Linked DNA regions of Struthio camelus. The main gene of each other region encodes a partner of the protein of the gene in region 2 in a complex. Links are inferred from orthologs where the notes say so. Each region holds a gene or a part of one and is shown on either strand. Other genes may lie near its edges. The genes, in order: DPM2, PIGP and PIGH.

Region 1 (3,744 bases), on a different chromosome or scaffold from region 2:
TACCACTCATCACCCCAGCTGATTTGTCGGGGAAGTGGACAAACTGTCCGGCTCGCAACCAATTTTCTAGAGCTCCATGTTCCCTAAACTCTTCTCCTTACTGGGCTCCAGATTTAGTAAGTAGAGTCTCTTTTTATACTTCCCCCTGTCACCTCCCACCAGAACCAGGAATCAGAAGACAGCAAAAATGAACATTCATGACAACAATCCTTATCCGACACCTCCAGAATGGCAGGCTTTAGCTCTCGATGACTGTTCAGGTCAGTCTCAACTTTTACACTGGCCAAACCTGTCTGTCTCAGAGCAGCAGGGCAGGTGGCAGAGTCTAAGCTTGATCTTACCCAGACAAGGGCAGGCACACCTAGAAAGAGCAAGGTGTGCACCAGCAAACTACAGGAAGTTCTACACTGACATTTTTCACCAGGAAGCTAGCAAAGCAGAGTTCTTTCAGACACAAGGACACATCGGCACCTAAATAAAGTCTAGGCAAACACAGCAGCCAAGTTACCGAGATTACAATAGGTAGAGCAAGACCCATACCAGTATGATGATCCAGATGGTGTAGTAAACAAAGAGAACAAGGCTGAAGGCTACCAAGCCAAATCCAACCACCTGGTCTGTTGCTGTGGCCTGCAAAGTAAGAGAGAGTCAGAGCAGGATCAGCACGTTGTGGTGTCTGAGCAGGAACAGTTAACGGGCATATGCTATTTATCGTGCTCCAGCTTATAAGAACGTATGGCTGCAGTACTGAAAGAAAAAAAGAACGCAAGGGAAGAAACCTGGGCAGCAAAAATGATTTATCACAAGTGCTTCAGTGAGAACAGCCGTGCCCTCCTGCTCTGGAACGGTCAGGGATTTCGTGTCCTGCCGCTACAGCAGACACACAAGTTGTACACTCCAGCAATTCTGACGAACTGCTTTGAAGTACTAACTCCCAGCCCACACCAACACAACCCTCTGCTGAGCTCCAGCAGGCTTCAGGCTACCTGGTCCGATCACTGCAACAGATAGACGGAAACCCTGGAAAAGCCCAGACAGACTGCCGGGGACTGGGAGGGGTTCAGACTCTCTATCCGTAAGCCTGCAATGCATAAAGCGCCACACTTCGGAAGGCATTGTGCTATTCGGGCTATTTCCTGAGGAACACGCAAAATGAAGAGTCGGAACATTTAACACCATGAAAACCCCAGTACTTGTCAGAGGCAGGTACTCCGGGCCAAATTTCAGTTTGGCCCCTTCTAAATTGCCTCCCTCTTCAGCTCCAGAGTAGTCTTCACACTCAGTGCCTTCTCTGTGCTAAAACAGCGTTAAAGAGGACGAGCCATGACCCAACTCCATTGTGACACCAGCGGGTCAAGTATGGACATGCTGAGGCTCACTGCCTCCAAAGGAGCTCAAAGTGCCATTCATCACAAAGCCAGGTCACCCTGGGCCACTGGGCACTACAGCTACAGGAGCGAGGGAGCTGGGAAGGAACTGGGAAGACTGGCTAATACACCAGGGGGCTGTGCTGCCAGTCGGGGACCACCACAGCCTGGAGAAATGGGCGGAGAAGAACTTTCCGAAGTTCCTCAACAGTCCTTCAACAAAGAAAAGTGCAAAGTCCTGCACCTGGGGAGGAATACCCCCATGCATTAAGAAAGGCTGGGGCCACCTAGCTTGAGAGCAGCCCTGCAGAAAAGGACTTGGGGAGTCCTAGTAGACACAAAAGTTGGACATGAGCCAGCACTATGCCCTTGTGGCCAAGAAGGCCAATGGTAACCTGGGCTGCATCAGGCAGAGCATTGCTGGCAGGTCGAGGGAGGCGATCCTGTCCCTTTACTCAGCCCTGGTGAGGCCACACCTGGAGTGCCGGGTCCCAGGCTGGGCTCCCCAGTACAAGAGAGACATGGAGCTCCTAGAGCGAGTCCAGCGGAGGGTCACAAAGATGACTGAGGGACTGGAGCATCTCTCATATGAGGAGGAGCTGAGAGAGCTGGGACTGTTCAGCCTGCAGAAGAGAAGGCTCGGGGGGACGGGATCTGATCAGTGTGTAAAAATATCTGATAGGAGGGTGTCAAAAGGACAGGGACACACTCTTAGTGGTGCCCAGTGACAGGACGAGAGGCAAGAGGCACCAAGCGGAACACAGGAAACTCACTCTGAGCATGAGGAAAAACTTCTTTACTGCGAGGGTGGCTGAGCGCTGGAACAGGTCGCCCAGAGAGGTTGTGGCATCTCCAGCCCTGGAGATAGTCAAAACTCAATGGGACACAGCCCTGAGCAGCCTGCTCCCGCGGACCCTGCTCCAGCAGGGGTTGGGGCAGCCGATCTCCAGAGGTCCCTGCCCACCCCTACCGCTCCGTGATTCTGGGAGAGATGCAGGGGAAAGGAACCAGCGCTCACAGCTGGCCCCCAACCTCCGCGCTCCTGAGGCCCGAGGAGGTCAAGGGGGAAACGGCGCTTGCAAGGCAAAGCGGAGGGGGCAGCAACTCCGCACTGCCCCACAGCGAGGGGGCAACAACCCCCTCAGCCCCCTGCTGCCCCACAGCGAGGGGGCAACGACCCCCCCACAGCGGGGCAATAACCTCCCCCCACCTCTTCCGCCCCACAGAGGGAAACACCCCCCCAAAGAGGGGCAACAGCCTCCCCCAGACCCCAACGCCCGCACGGAAGGGGCAACAACCCCCGAGATGGCGGGTTCCCCCCGCCCCAGGCCCCTCACGACGGCCCGGGGGCAGCAGACTCCCCCCCGCCCACTCACCATGGCGACGAGCAGCTCCGAGTTCCCTCCCCGCCAGCAGCGCTCTTCCGGGAGCTTTCAGCCAATCAGCGAGCAGCGTTTCAGCCACGCCCGCCCGCCGGGCCTGACGGGAGCAAGCCCGCCGTCACGCTCGCGGCAGACAGCCAATCAGCGGGGAAGGGCTCCGGCCCCCACGGCATTGTGGGAAATGTAGGCGCGCCCCCCACCCTGAGCATCACGGGAAGTGTAGTCCGGGGGGAGGGAGGTGGCCACAGGGCCCTGAGGCTCCTTTAGGCTACTTCTTTATTCCAACATTTTAATTCACCACTTCCTACAGTAACCGCACTTTAATTTTAATATCGACCTAATTTTATTTATTAATAATTTAAATATACATTTTATTGTTCTTACTATTTTTAATTTGATACTTAGCAATTTTTAAAGCGGTGCCCCGCAGCCGGGGGCAGCGGGGCCAGACCGGACCCCCCTCAGCTCGCAGTGCCTGGAGGCGACGGGCAGGGCCGGGGGCCGCTCTGCCCCTCGCCAGGTGGCCGCCGTTTCGGGCTGCGCCGCTGGGTCCCCGTCGCTTCGCTGCAGGGCGGCAGGAGGGCGTTTCGCTCCTCGGCGGGCGGTTGGGGAAGGCGGCGGCGGCCGCCGTGCTCATCCCCCTCCCTTTGCGCGGCCGCAGGCCCAGCTGGGATAGATCTAGCAGGGAGATGTCCAGGACTGTGATCGCAACCAGAGAGGGAGTGAGGGGATTTATGAAAAAATAATTTCCCACAAAACCCTGAACTACTACCATTTTGAGATTTTTTTTTCTTTTTTAACCCTTAAGCAGTGGACTTTGCCAACGACCCCCGGGCTCGTGGTTGCCCAGGGCCATGAGAAAAAAGGGGACACGCAAACAGGAGGAAAACGCATCAGAAAAGCTCTGCTGCTGCCCCCCCCTTACATCTTGCCACAGGGACAAAGCCAAGAAAACCTCTGTCACCGCAGTTTCTGACCCATAAAGCCGACACCCT
Region 2 (3,744 bases):
GCTAGAGTAACTAGTAGATACGCAGGCAATGCAACTGCCCAGTACCTGAGAAATAAGATTTTAAAATTTACTTATCATAATAACAAAATGTCTGGTGACATAACATTTTTAATGTACTGGCTGTTATTGTATACAGCACAAACTTAGCTGGGACGAAAAGAAACACCACCACTAAATATGGACCCTGGTTCCTCCCAGGAAGACTACTAACTATGGAGTCACTGTAGCCAGCCTGTTATAAACAGTCACACAAACTCCTTATAGATGGCTTTTGTTTTTTATATACAATTTAAAATTTATTGTATTTCCATCGGCAAACTTGGTTAAGACAGAATTCCTAACTTATCACAAAACACTGAAATAAATACTACTTCTTTCATTACACAACAAAATATTTTTTATCGTAATTACTTATCGGTATAAAGTAATGCTTCACAAAAACGATAGCCCTTTATCATCAGGAAAAATGTATCAAATGCAAGGCCACCATTTAAAAGATACATGTATAGTTTCGCTATTTGCTATTTGAAATTAATTCAGGGTGTTATAAATGTACGTCTATTCAGGCTTAAGAGTTTAATTGTTTGAACTTACTTTTGAGGCCAGTATGTTAGTCCCAAAGAGAATAGCCAAGTCTCAGGAACGTATGCCCAGATAAGATACAGAACTGCACAAAGAATTAAAAAATCAAAACAGTGCAACCGATACTGTTTTAGACTTCTTCCTTAAGTTTTAGAGCAATACTTCCATACTGATACATACTGTGATAGTGTTTCACTTTCACACAATCTATACCCAGGTAGCTCTAGCATGACATTGCAGAATATATCGCTCATACACAAAACTTGCCGAATATGGGGACAATGTTTTGTACCTCATTATATGCTACCATTTTTGTGTTTAACATTTAGTTTTTGATTTCCTGTGTAGGCAAGACAAGAATTTCATGCAGTCTTGGAACTACAAAACAAAAAGATTCTGCAAAAGCACGCCAAATGACTCTCTGCATACAGACAATATTAAATTACAAAGTGATTATACAGTGGGTCATACGACTAAAAGAGGTGGTAGAACGGCAGGGCTTGGATGGAAGAACTGAATTCAGAAAAAAATAATTACTGAAAATATTTTCAGTCTCTTGGTAAGTTTAACAGTGATCTTCATGTTAACATAACCAACATTGAAAATCTTTCTCCCTAACAACAAATTCAGAGTAAGGTTTAACAAGAACTGAGATGAAGAGTTTAGTAGCCAAACAGTGACACAAAATCTGGAACTGCAGAGGCTTGCTCTGTAGAACTAACACTGGGAAAAACGGAAGCCAACTTAGTTGCATTGCCACTTACCTCCAAGAAACACTGAAGACTTACATAAGAATCCTACTTTTTTGTTCAACTACAATCTATTTGCAATACCTTTTCATTTGTTGAAAAGGTGTTCTCATTTAATTCACCCTTTCTAGGCTATCTTAGTCCTGTGTGGGCATGTAAAACATCCCCAGAGAAATGCTACAGCATCTGTCACATCAGCAGAGAAAGCTGGTAGGGCTGGTCATTTTCCTTTGCTGTTAACCAGACGCGCCTTAACCTTTAATATCCAGGGTTTGGGCACTTGGGGGGCTGGGGTGGGGACGCTGCGGTTACACAATAGCAACTGTATGTGTAATTCAAGTAAAAAAGTTACTAAAATTAGAATGCCGAGAATTTTTTAAATAGGCACTTAATCCCATAGTAGTATTAAAGACAGACAAAACATGAAAGGATCACAAAAGGTAATGCTAGATTCTCAAAACATCTCACAGATCTGGCAAGAAATTGTAATCGTCACCCTTTTGAGATGGTCCAACTGGAATTACATTTCTCTCCTAAGCAGAACAATACTTTCCAGTGAATTATTCAGTACACAATATACTTACTAAAGCCAAACCAAGATCCTAAAAAAAGGGCAAAGCCGTATATTGCTCTTTCTGGCAATGGGGCTGGAGAGTTTTCAACCATGCTGGTCTCTTCCCTTTAACTTCGGGGGGGAAAACAAAAAGAGAAGTATTACAGGTTTGCTTGGTAAGTCTCGCTACGAATTACACGCAAGTGCGGGGATCCGGGGGGGGGGGGGAAACACGACAACACAAATCACTTATTTACCTCCCATGCAGACGTGACGCACCCCACACCAACCGGCGCCGGTGGCCACCTCCCCCCTCCCCGCACGCGCCTGCCGGTGGCGGGAGAGCTGCGCATGCGCTCAGCCCGCAAGGCCCCGCGCGCCGCTCAACGGTCGGCCGGGAGCCGCGGCGCTGCCGACCCCCATCTCCCACAGCCCTTCCTTCCTTCCTTCCTTCTTTCTTTCCCCTGCTACCTGCCTCGGCCGGCTAGGCCATTCCGCCCCCTTCCCTTCGCGTTCCTCAGGAAGGAAACCACACCCAGGGCGCCCTTAAGGACAGCAGGAAAAGAGGCGCCGACCCGCCTGACTTGCCCCTCCCCTTGGTCGCCCGGCGCCGTGTATCTGGCGCATGCGTAATCGGAAAAAGCGCGCTTCAGCACCGCCTCTCCCGCTGCCAGCTCCCGCGGCAAGCAGACGCATGCGCAAAAGCTGCGAGTTCGCGGCGGCCGGAGACCTCTAGCCCAGCGTTGGCTCTCTCCCTTGACGTCAGAAGGCAGCCTGCCAATAGCGGGGCCAGGGCGGGTGAGGGGGGGGGGCTGGCACGTGCGGGGGGAGGGGCCAGCGTTGGGCCCAGCGGCGCCGCGGGTGGCGGTTGGTCTCGCGCTGGCCGTGGCGGGGTCCGGTGAGTGGCGGGCGTTGAGGCCGGGGCGGGCGCTCCCCTCCCCCTCTGCGCGCGGTGCCAAGCTCGTGCCCCTCCCTTGCCCCCGGCCTCCGCCTTGGGGCCGGGAGGGTGACGCCCGGCCCGGCCCGCCTGGGGCGGGCTCCAGCGCAGCCAGTGCGGGGGGACGGGAGCGGGCAGGGCGGTGTGGCCTCGGCTCCGTGGGGCTGCGACACGTCGCTGGTGAGAAGCGCGGCTGCTGCTGGGGCCGGGAGGTGGCGGCGAGGCGGCCGGGCTCCGCGCAGCGGCCCGCGGGTTGCGGTGGGGGGCGAGCTGGCAGGAGGGGGAGCGTGGCTCTGGGCGACGGGAGGCCTCCGCGGTTCTGTCACGCGGGGTGTTTAGAGCCGCTGTCTTTGGATGTGGCAAATGGGGCTTAGTTGCTGTTGCACCCTTCCCCGGCTGGTAGACACTGCCCTTCCCTTTCCTGCCTGTTAGGCGTGAGGCAATAGGAGTGCTGTCAGGGACCAGGCGCTTGCAAAACTGTTGGAGTTGTTAGTCAGTTTAAGTAGTTTTTAACTTGAACAATTATCTAACGCTTTAGGATGCTTTTCTTAAGTTTAACTATGTCACGTAAAAATACGAGTGCATGTTTTCTGTGAAGCTATCACAAATCGTAATGTCATGTTGTGATCATTTTATTTCCTGTAAAGTAAGTGCATTCCTTTCCTCTCTCCCCCACCCGCGTGTGGTTCTCATAATCTTTTTTTTTTCAGTATTATGCACCATGGCTGAGCCTATATCCGAATCTGAATCTGCGGCCATGGCTTTTTATGCTGGTGATAAATCTTGCTGTGAACTGGTAAGTAGGTTTGGAACTAGATGAAAGGCTTGCAAGATGATCCAATGGGTTTTATACCTAGGTATCATCTATAGACTGATTATTGATCTGGATGAACTTTAACTAATGCAAAGATATGCTATACCAC
Region 3 (3,744 bases), on a different chromosome or scaffold from region 2:
ATAGCAAAAAACCCCAGAGACTGAGGAAAAAAAAAAAAATCACCTCTTTTGGTTGTGGTCCATCTTCTTATGGTTTATTGAATACTTACGGAGTTTTACATCGGAATTTATAAGAACAGTGTAACAGGAAGAACTAAAACCAGTAGCTCAGTGCATTATCTAAGGGATGGATTTGACTTTTTGAGGATATTTGCTTTAAGTTTTCCTTGAAAGGTAAGAAAACAGATGATAGAATAAAAAGAGAAATCTGGAACAAAGCCCCTGACATCAGCAAAGCTATAGATGTTGCTGTGTTTACTTTCTCTGGTAAACCACTCTCATGAAAACATGCTGGATCAAAGTGTGCCTAAAGATACACATGAAGAAAGACTGTATACAATTACCATGTGGATGGCTTCATTGATAACCACATCCTTCACCTGACTCATCTCAATGAAGGTTGTGCTCTCCTTCCCTGAAGCATAGGATGAAGTCACCTGAATGCCGAGTGAGCCAATGACTAACAGTGATTCCTGGTCAATCTTCACAAAGTGCAGATATACAATCAGGCCGATGAGCGTGATGAATATAGCAGCAGAAAGCACCATACTATTCTGTAACACAAACCAAGGAAAGACAGAGCGCCAGTCTTAACACACTGCTTTATACAAAGTAATGTTCCAGAGTAAACCACAATATTAAGGCTACAGTTATATGGCAGTTTTAATTAAGTGGAGTCCTCTATGTATGCAGGGCACTCACTGGGCCGGTAATGAGGTTTAAATTACCAAACACAAGTCTCCATAGTATGATCTGAAGGAATTGGGAACTGAAACCAAAATGAGCAACAAAACTTCATCCACGTCTAAATTTAGTGCGGGAAACTCCATTCAAAACAGTGAGGAGCATCAGAGAAGACAGCATGTCATACAAACATCTGTAGAAGTGATGTCAACCTAATAGAGAAATTTTAAATGTTTACTAGAGCTAAGGGTGGAGTCTCAGAGCGGAAAGAATTTGTTTTGCTAAAAGATCTGGACTAAGACCTAGGAGATCCAAGTTTTCTTCTTATAATCTGAGAGTCTAAACTTGTTCAAACTTCATCTCCCTTCTAGAGACTGTTTGCTTTCTTCCGAGCTTTGCCTGAGAACAATCTGTCTTTTGCATGCTGCAGTTTGGGATTGCTAGCTATTACATAAAATAACGTCTAACTGATAAAACTATAAGCAACAGTAAGTCATCTGAAGACCTGGTAATACATCCCAAATGTTCTCAACCTACAACCTATCTCTGGGACTTGTTTTAGAGAGCCAAAGGCCACATCCTGTAAATCAAAGTCATAACTGACAGTTCCCAAAGGACCAGAGCTACATGGCCCTCCAGCTCAACTAGTGACTGTACCACTATATGAGGTAAAGAAGCCATGCCTGCATTCAAAGAGAAAGGATACTGGACTCCTCCCAGAGCTCGTCATCATGGTGAAATCAGTGGAGAATTACAGACACTGAAATCTACAAAGAGGCTGAAGACCTTCAGGTCTGGTTTCCTGGCAGAAAGGGAGGATTGTAATCAGTTAGTTACGTACAAGCTGCATGCACTCACTTAAAATCATGCAGGAAGACAGCTGGTGGTAACTGCTGGCTCAGGATATATGCTTTTGTAAAAAATAAGACTGGACCACAACTCCCCTTCCAGCCAGAGGATGACGAGCCATCTTTTCATACCAGAAACATTGCCAATTGATTTATGTCTCTCAGTCCCCGTCTCCACTCTTTGGGAAAGATTATTGAGAAAGCTGAAGTGCGATGTGTATCATAGTGCTGGTCACAGGGATCAGCCTTTTCAGTCAAGCCAAGCTCTTGACTTTAATCTCAGGGTGAAAGTATTGGTCTGAGTCCAGAAGGCAGTCCTCCTCTGTTAGCATGGATCAAAGATCAGATATCTAAGCCAATACTTGTCGATTTATCAGCCGCTTTTGAAATCTGTACTGTCTGACAAGGTCTTGTTGACTCAACTATGCAACATGAGCAAGTAAATGACATTCGTAGTGCAGTGCTCTTTGCTCCACTCAGAAAAATCCCAGAGGGGTTTTCCTAGGAATCACTCACCTCCTTGGAGGGACCCTGCACCCCACGTCCCCGCACCTCCTCTCTCCGAGTAAACTCACAAGGCCGCGCTAGCGCCCACGCGTAAATCTACCCTAGCTGGCAAGCTACAAACCAACCGGGGCCTCCGAGAAGCGGCCGGGGGCGCTGGGGCTGCGCCAGCGGGCCCCCAGCAGCCGGCTGCCGCGCCGCGCCCACCCCGACCCAGCGAGGCACGAGCAACGACGCTCCCTCGGCAGGGCGCCCGGCGGCGAGACCCCCCTCGCCTCCCCCCCGGCCCGGCCCGGCGGGTGGGGGCTCCCCGGGGCCGCGGCGAGCGGCAGGGCCGGGCCGGGCCGCGGCCCCGGAGGCGCAGGGCGGTACCTCGCTGAGCGCGAAGAGCCCGTAGGCCGCCAGCCACACCGAGGAGGTGACGGCGCTGAGCGAGCGGAGCTGCAGGCGGGGGCCGCGCACCGCCAGCTCCCGGCAGGAGGCGCTGTGCTGGCGGCACCGCAGCGCGATGGGCGCCCCCGACACCGCCCGGTACCACCGCTCCTCCATGCCGCCCGGCCGGAACCGCCGATGCGCGAGGCCTAGAGCGGCCCGGCCGGCCCTCGTCTCGATGGTGCGGCTCCCCTCGCTTCCGGTGCTTTCCTCTCCGCGGCGAGGGGGGGGGAGCTCCTCCCTCCGCGTGCGCGCGGGGGAGCGCGGGGCGCGAAGCCACGGCCACGCGCGTGCGCAGGGCGCGGCGGCAGCGGTAGCGGCAGCGGCAGCAGCGGGCGAGGCGCCTCCCTCCCCCGGCCTGAGCCCCAAAGGGCGTCCCGGCGGGAGCTCCCCCCCCCCCCCCCCCGCGGGCGCGCCGCGCGTGTGCAGTGAGCGTGTCCGGCAGCGAGGTGGCCCGCGGGGGCTGCGCCCGCCCCAGCTCGTCCGGGTGGTGGCGGGGCAGCCGGCCTGGCGGGCGTGGTTAAGCTTGTGGAGCGCTTTTTTGTCTAATCTGCATCAACATCGGTAACCGCTACGATTTGCAAACGTGATAATTCCCTGTTTGCTCCCTCTGGGGTCTTAATAACAGGGTTGAACAACACAGGCCCTTTTGTGTGTCTTTTACCATGATGAAGAGGGACTTTTTTTTAACCGTTTGCCAGTTTCTAGTATAAAAAAAAATCTGCCTCTTTTTGTAAGTATAAGTATCTGAAGGGGGGAGTGCCAAGAGGATGAGGCCAGTCTCTTCTCCGTGGTGCCCAGCAACAGGACAAGAGGCAACGGGCACAAACTGAAACACAGGAAGTTCCACCTAAACCTGAGAAAAAACTTCTTCACTGTGAGGGTGACAGAGCATTGGAACAGGTTGCCCAGAGAGGTAGTGGAGTCTCCTTTGCTGGAGATACTCAAAACCTGTCTGGAGACAATCCTGGGCTCTAGGTGGCCCTGCTTGAGCGGGGAGGTTGGACTAGATGATCTCCAGAGGTTCCTTCCAACCTAAACCATTCTGTGATTCTGTGATTGTCTGTGCTGTCCTCAGCTACAGACTCTTAATTGAAAACAGCCTTGTTAGTGATTTATTTTTGCAAAGTTTAAAGCAGTGTTTTCTGGTTCTTTGCCACCTAAGTACATGATATTATCAAAAACTAATAAACTGGAGACTTGGCTTTGTATACAAAGACTTTAATTAATGGATCTT

The links.
Region 1: PIGP (region 2) and DPM2 share a complex: the UniProt entries of both Homo sapiens proteins name them as parts of the glycosylphosphatidylinositol-N-acetylglucosaminyltransferase (GPI-GnT) complex. The link is inferred for Struthio camelus from reciprocal best matches to the Homo sapiens genes PIGP and DPM2.
Region 3: PIGP (region 2) and PIGH share a complex: the UniProt entries of both Homo sapiens proteins name them as parts of the glycosylphosphatidylinositol-N-acetylglucosaminyltransferase (GPI-GnT) complex. The link is inferred for Struthio camelus from reciprocal best matches to the Homo sapiens genes PIGP and PIGH.

Annotation. Positions count from the first base shown.
Region 1 is NC_090961.1:7,728,852-7,732,595, forward strand, and holds the start of DPM2 (dolichol phosphate-mannose biosynthesis regulatory protein), read right to left. Parts: upstream 2,742-3,744; 5' UTR 2,150-2,741; coding exon 2,141-2,149; intron 631-2,140; coding exon 541-630; intron 1-540. UniProt on the Homo sapiens protein: Regulates the biosynthesis of dolichol phosphate-mannose. Regulatory subunit of the dolichol-phosphate mannose (DPM) synthase complex; essential for the ER localization and stable expression of DPM1.
Region 2 is NC_090942.1:122,278,578-122,282,321, forward strand, and holds the start of PIGP (phosphatidylinositol N-acetylglucosaminyltransferase subunit P), read right to left. Parts: upstream 2,585-3,744; 5' UTR 2,356-2,584; exon of another isoform or gene 2,142-2,355; intron 2,017-2,141; 5' UTR 1,998-2,016; coding exon 1,916-1,997; intron 668-1,915; coding exon 595-667; intron 46-594; coding exon 1-45. Other genes in the region: E3 ubiquitin-protein ligase TTC3, read left to right, coding at 3,543-3,617. UniProt on the Homo sapiens protein: Part of the glycosylphosphatidylinositol-N-acetylglucosaminyltransferase (GPI-GnT) complex that catalyzes the transfer of N-acetylglucosamine from UDP-N-acetylglucosamine to phosphatidylinositol and participates in the first step of GPI biosynthesis.
Region 3 is NC_090946.1:46,555,338-46,559,081, forward strand, and holds the start of PIGH (phosphatidylinositol N-acetylglucosaminyltransferase subunit H), read right to left. Parts: upstream 2,908-3,744; 5' UTR 2,625-2,907; coding exon 2,448-2,624; intron 594-2,447; coding exon 384-593; intron 1-383. UniProt on the Homo sapiens protein: Part of the glycosylphosphatidylinositol-N-acetylglucosaminyltransferase (GPI-GnT) complex that catalyzes the transfer of N-acetylglucosamine from UDP-N-acetylglucosamine to phosphatidylinositol and participates in the first step of GPI biosynthesis.